Nothobranchius furzeri: one gene and its partner. The protein of the gene in region 1 purifies or fractionates together with the protein of each later gene. This does not show direct contact. Links are inferred from orthologs where the notes say so. Each region holds a gene or a part of one and is shown on either strand. Other genes may lie near its edges.

Region 1 (3,872 bases):
CATTTTTGCGCGCGCTGCCTCAGACGATAAAAAAAACCTTGGCGACGACAAACACAACTCTGCTGCACTCTCCTCGTGTTTGCTGGCCATTAATCTTTGTGTGTCCTCGCCCCATTTAACAATAGCCCTCTTGGTTAGTCAATTATCATGAAGAGACCAACTGAACTCAATTAACCGCCGTGCGCGTTTGGAGCGCGCGTCTCCACGGCCTTTTACGCACGACTTTCAGACGCATGTTTGTCACGCGGGACGAGCCGGCTTTTATTTTGATAGTCTGCGCAGCTTCGATAGACTATTTGCACTCAGATCTTCAAAAGCAATTATAGCACTTTCCAATGAATCTTAATGGCAGCACTCAACGGTGCAATAAAGTCCAGGTGAGCCATTTCTATGCAAAACACCCCCCTGCAATATGGCCTAATGGCCTTTATATTTGATCATTGTTGTAAAGAGGAAGGAAATTGTTAACCCAGGCTGTTCCATATGTGATTTATGAGGCGTGTTGCCCGTTAAGAAGGGAGGCAATCAGAATCAGACACTTTCGTCCCTGTAAAGTTGTAGAAATAATAAAAGACAGTGGAGTCAGAAAAAATGGAAAGATTTAATGGCCATCTGCCATCTCAAAGTGAGGACAATCACACAAAATCAACAGATTGTTCCTGAAACAAAATAAATGAAATGTTTTTTAGCTTTTTCATTGAGTAACAAACCAGTTTTTGACGGCATGTCAAAAAATGATAAAACATGCTTACTCTGTGGCGACAGCAGCGTGGCCTATGTAAACATCATGACACGTGATGAATAGTAATGGCGTTATAATAGAGATTAGGTCCCCCTCCTGTGACGAACACGGTTACACCTCATCATGAGTCACGAGAGAGACTGTTTGACCTCATTCTGTTGCATTTTATTGGGAAAAAAGAAAATAATCTACCAGTACGTCCAAAGAGACAAAACTCACTCTATTTCTCTGTAAAATGATATTTTAAATAAAGTTTTTCTCTTTTAAACACAAAGCAAACAGCAGCACCTCTCAGTCGGTTATGAGCTCCTGAGACTAAAAACAAAGCCGGTCCATTCATGAAGTCTGAATCCGTCTTTTTTTGTCTCTTTTCTGTCCATCGGCATGTTTCCGGTCTCTGTCGTCTTGGTGTCTGCTGCGTCTGTCCTTATCTCTGTCCGGCCTCTTATCTCGACTTGTGCGGCGGTCCATGTGAGGACGTTTATGATCCGAGGGGCCGCCAGTATTCCTGTGATCAGGCGGAGGCGTTCTGCTGCGGTCACGCTGTCTGTCCGGGGACTCGCTCCGAAGGCGTCCTCTTGTGGAGGAACATTTGGCTTGGGGTTCCTCTGTGCGCCGGTGCAGGCCCGTGGAGCGCAGGGTGTTGAGTAAGAAGCGTTTGTTGGTGCTCTGTAGAGGACACTTCAACCTGGAGAAAAATCCACAAACATCAGACACAGATCCAGAAAAATCCAGCAGTTGATGCCGAAAGAAGAAATTTAATTTCACAGATTCAATCAGACTTCAGCAACATGACTTTTGTGGGTGTTTTATCCCTTTAACTATAGAATAAAGAGGCTAAATAAGAAATTTTCACACATACGATTGAAATGCCCCAAAAAAACCTTTAATGTATATATATGATATAAGACCTCAAATTAAAATACCAACAGATAAGATAACTTTTAGTGCAAAACTAACATTTTTAGGAAGACACGTGGTGTGTTCAGATGGTTTAATGAGAACATGAGCAAAATAATCTAATATTTAAAATAATACTAGACACTAAGTAATTATCCAAAAAGAAAAAAGAAAAGAAAGAAAGCCAATCCACATGAGAGGGTCAGAGATATTTCAGAGCTCACCATCCTGCAGGACCCATGGTCTCTGCTCTCACCCGGGCTCTGTCAGTCTCCCTCAGGAGCTCCTCCACGGCGCGCCTAGACGGAACCGGACCCAGAACCAGGAGAATGAGTCATGAGACAAACAGGACAGAAATTCTGAGCAGATGTACAAGAAATATAAGATGAAAGTAAAGCGGACGTGTCCTTGTTTGACCCGAAATGAGTCTCATCACCAGATTGGACTCGCTACTTATGCCGACCTGAAACTACACACAACAGGCAGCTAGAGTCAACAAGTCAACTTTAAATACAGTAAACAACTCAGATCAGAACTACTAACAGACTGTTTTTCCGCAGCGTTACATTTTAGAGGGAAAATGTCTGCAAATGTGTTCAGACGGAAGTTAATAAAGATACATTTACTCACTTTTCTAGCTCATTTTCTTCCGCCATTGCGTCTTAATCACACAAAAACTCTTACAAATAAATAAAAACCTAATAAAACCTATAAATTTACGTTAATTTACGAGGCATTTCTTGTTCACTTCGCCGAGAGGTCCTTCAATCGCGGACCCTGTTTTTAGCTGCCCGGAGCAATGCCTGTTCAGTTGCAAAATCATGTTGAAAATAAGTTATGAAACCAAACTACATTTTTTATTTACAAGTAGATATGTTTGTGTATTATGTATTGATCTTTTTTAATTAAAATAATTGATATTTTTAAAAGTTCAATAAGTTATGGGGCACCCCTGGAAAAACATTTACAGCTGATTGTTTTAGCAACATTTGGCCACAAATAACTTTAAAACAAACATAGAATCAAACAAATATATAAACACACTTTGTTAAAAAAAAGGATTTATACTCAAATCGAAACGTAAAATGTGACATTTAAACTTGTACATTTTTTATTTGATTAAACATTTTCCATTGGGAACTAAGCCAACTTAATTCTTTGGTAAATTGTAAAAATAATTTAAATACATACAATGGCTTAATCAAAAGTAAAGTGATAGTTACAGAATATCATCAAGCAAGATATTTTAGTAATCTAGATTGTGATACATTAAAGGACAATAACAAACATTTTTATTTAGAAGTAATCTTCTTAAAGAAGACATATTATGCCTTTTGCATCCTTTTTGTGCCGCCATGTGCACTCTGCCTCTATAAACGCTCCAAACATGCCAATGTGTGGTTGTAGAAATGTTGTGCCTAAAACAAGCTATTTGAAATTGTCCCCAATTGTGACATCACAAGCAGGCCCAGTGCCAATACTCGCATTGCGCCCTGCAGTCTTCAGCAAAGTGCACTTGGAGAAAGTGTGCAGTAAGGCTTCGAGTGCGTGGACTACAACTGTGCAAATAATTGCTGAAGTGAGACAGGGAGCATTGCGTCATGAAACGCAACGCATGCCGAGATGCTGGTCCTGTGATACTTTTTCAAAAGCCTTTATTAACAACTTTTAAACAAACAACCCATTATTTGAAATAAATTTTAATTAATTGCTGCTTTGTCTAAAACATTCAGAGCATCAACTGATTGTCCCAAAACTAACTCATTCCATTAGAAAATATTCAGAAAAGGAACTTGAACCCTTTCTCCTGCAGCAATGACTTGTGGGTAATACACTTCACCCAGCACTGTAAGAATACTTTTGAGGCAGATAATTAAGTATATATTTGTTCTGTTTTTTTCTATTCTATTCTATTCTATTCTATTCTATTCTATTCTATTCTATTCTATTCTATTCTAATTTTTGTTCTGATCCTGTTTTTGAACAGGCGGTCGGTGTAAGCCACCTCTAAACTCAGCTCCGTAGACTCCTCCCATCACCTTTTGATTGGCAGCGGTGGGCGGGATCAGCGGCGCCAACGGTACGGGGGCGTTTTCTTGCGGGCTTGCGGAGCTCTCCGTCGGTTGCGGCGAATGCGTGATCGACGCCCCGCAGCTGATAATTGCTCCCCGCTTTGGGGCCCGAGTGGACGGCGCGGAGGAGCCGCCGGAAGAAGGTAAAACATCCATCA
Region 2 (3,142 bases), on another chromosome or scaffold:
CAGTTGTTGTTTCAGGTCGGATGGCGGCTCACGTTTCATGAGCAGGCTGAGCTGATTTGCAGCTTCAAGTATTAAATGATGGTAGTCAGTTAAAAAGCAGTTCTGTTTGCATTAAAGATTTATTTTCGATAAATCTCAGATCCAAACCATCTAGACCTGGCCTAGTGAACTAGACCAAATTCTTGCTTTGCAAATAATACATTTATTTAGTCTGGCTTGCCAGGCTAATCTAGACCAGCAGAGCCACACAAGTGATCCCTCCTGATGAAGAATAAAGCCTCTTTGCACTAACTAGGGCTGGGCGATACGGCCTAAAATCATTACCCCGATTTACCTAGGATTTCACCGAGTGGCGACGCCAAGGGGGCGCTATAGCTACCCCTGGATTAGTCATTGCACCCCCAAGTAAATATTAGATTTTATTCTTTACAATTTAATTTTAATTTAACGTGTGGATGTGATAATATTTAACATACAAAACAAAAATAATCAGTAAATTACCATATAGATAGTAAAAACTTAAACCAAAACAGGAAATTGGTGTTAACCTTTGACCTCATTTTCCCCCTGCAAATGAGTGAAAGGTAGAGCTAGTGGTAAAATGGATCGGTTTTTGTTGCCCACGTTTCCACGGGTTCAGTCAGAAACGAATGAATCTTTGGAAGTGATCTCAGACCCACAAAAACCTACGGGTCTGGATGAAGAGAGTCAACCCTCAACCGCCGCAGCAGTCGAGGGTTTTGTCGCTGGAAATGCTAACGCTAACGTTAGCTAACCTTGCAACACTAAAGATTGTTTTCTGTGTGGCTGTATGCGTTTATGATTTCATGGAAAAGTTAGTGATTGTTCATATGTTTATGAAGTATATTAATGATTGTTTCAGGTGTTGTTGAGGTTTTGTGCATGCATGTGTATCTGCTAGTGTTGAAGGTGTTTTAGAGAACAATAGGTACGCATGACCACTTCCTTCATAGCACCCTCAATAAAAAGACTAGCTCCTTCATAACACCTGCAGAAAAAAAATTCCGGAGCCACCACTGTTTTCACCTGGATGACAGGAACTACACATATGCTCTGAAACAGACGTTGTCCACTAGGTGGAGCTGTATTACATATGTGACTTAAGGTGGTACGTCTTCTTAAAAGGGGCATGAATGTTGCCAACCTGCACACATATTATCTTTTTTATTATCAGATGTGTTGACACGGGAAAAACAAAACAACAACATAAGTGTCAGAAATTTAAATAACAACACATTTTCGATTTATTGCCCAGCCCTAGTACAAACCCATTTAGACTCCAGTTTCTGCTTCCCTGCAAAAATTTTAGATTTATTTAACTTCTAAGGTTTATTCAAGTCCGTACATGTTTCTTTAGTGTGGCACTAAAAGAGAGTCGGTAGTTATAGGTTGATATTTAAAAAGTATTTAAAAAATGACATAAAAGAATCAAATTCATTAAACATTTAAACATGTATCAAGTCAAGGAATTATGAAGATGCTATTTAAGGTTTGTGTTTGTTTAAGTCTAAACAGGAATAAAGATGAATCTGTTCGAGTTCACATGCATTAATAATTTAGTTATTTGTAAATCGGGGCAGAAAATGTAAAATTATTCTTCCTTCTGCCCCCAGTTCATTTAAATTGTATGATATTAATGTTTATGTTTGTATTTTGTTTTATTGTATTTTACTTAATCCATTTGAATTAAATTAAATAAAACATTAAAAGACCCTAATAAAACAACTATCACCCCCTAGTGGTAACAATGTGCATTTAAAAATGGTCAAATTAGCTGTTTTAATCATTCCCAACATTTGCCAGATTTCATTTGAGTAGAAAAAACAACAATTAACAAAAGGGGATTTTATTGGGCCTTTCCATCATCCGTGTCTTCATTCACTCTCCATATAAATTCTTATAATCAAATAATTAAACATGGTCTTTTGAGGTTGCACCAGTTTCTTCCTCTGCTATTAAACAGGAAATGTGTCACTTTCGACTTTTCTTCACTTATTTTAACCCAACCAGCTGAATTATGGAGCGTAAGGAGAGGCTGGTTAATTCCAACAGTGAAAAGGTTTATGTGACTTGCAGGAAGAAGGTGTCTGGTGACTACGAGGCTCTGAGTGATCGCCTCCAAACTCTCCCAGATCAACTCTCTTATGACATCATGGTGCGTTGACCTGCTTTAAAATCGCACGAACTGACCCAAAAAACTGGAAATTTAAACTTTTTTACGTCCGCTCTCTCCCACCTGCTTCCGTTGACCCATTTTTTTCTGCTCTTTTGTTTCTGCAGGTGCCATTTGGCCCTCTGGCCTTCATGCCCGGGAAGCTGGTGCACACCAACGAGGTCACGGTGCTGCTGGGTGACAACTGGTTCGCTAAGTGTGCCGCCAAGCAAGCCCAAAAACTTGTCGATCACAGGATGAAGCGTGAGTGTGGCGTCCCGTCCACTTTCACTGCACAATTGTCTTAATTGTTCGATGCCGGCGCTCGTCCAGCAGAGGGCGGTGCTGCATCACAACCGGAGAAACTGGAAGGCCAAACTTAGTGATGGGATTTACAAGTTTGACACAAAGCTGATTTTCTGCAACAGCGACACAAAAAGCTGCGTGCTAGGAGCAAGATGGATGTTTCGCACAAGTGGTTTAAAGGCTGGAAGCCCGTTGCGGCCCTCTGGTACTCCACTACCATCGCTGCCTCTGTTGTGAACATTTTAAACAGCAGTTGAGCTCGGTTCCTGTCTCGTGTCGCTTGAACGTGCGTTGTGTGCGGCGTTTGTGTTTTCTTTGCTGATCTTTCTGCGTTCACAAACCTCACATCCAGTCGGATAGACCCAAGCTCCGATCGCTGATGTGAACATTATTAGAATGTTTAGTGAAGCAGAAATGGGCTGCCACGGCCCATCCAAAGCCCCCCCCCCACGTCTCCTGACCCTCCCCACCCTGCTATTACAGAGCTAAGTGCTGTAATACAAACATAGCTAGCTGAAATGTGTCAGACAGCGGCTGAGTTGTCAGGCCTTCTGTGTTTGACCTTTCCTCACTTCCAGTTGATGCACTGACTGGAGGGGCTCCCGATCACCATGGAAACAAGGGCCCTCTGCTGCTATTAGTGAAAGGGCTTAATTGTTGTGA

Evidence for each region.
Region 2: the proteins of si:ch211-140b10.6 (region 1) and uri1 purify together in Homo sapiens (affinity purification with mass spectrometry; 4 studies listed by BioGRID and IntAct, with this or other methods). This does not show direct contact. The link is inferred for Nothobranchius furzeri from reciprocal best matches to the Homo sapiens genes POLR1D and URI1.

What each region holds. Positions count from the first base shown.
Region 1 is NC_091747.1:51,106,081-51,109,952, reverse strand, and holds si:ch211-140b10.6 (protein POLR1D), read right to left. Parts: upstream 2,444-3,872; 5' UTR 2,299-2,443; coding exon 2,273-2,298; intron 1,942-2,272; coding exon 1,867-1,941; intron 1,431-1,866; coding exon 1,079-1,430; 3' UTR 583-1,078; downstream 1-582.
Region 2 is NC_091744.1:78,620,938-78,624,079, reverse strand, and holds part of uri1 (unconventional prefoldin RPB5 interactor 1), read left to right. Parts: intron 1-2,097; coding exon 2,098-2,176; intron 2,177-2,301; coding exon 2,302-2,437; intron 2,438-3,142. UniProt on the Homo sapiens protein: Involved in gene transcription regulation. Acts as a transcriptional repressor in concert with the corepressor UXT to regulate androgen receptor (AR) transcription.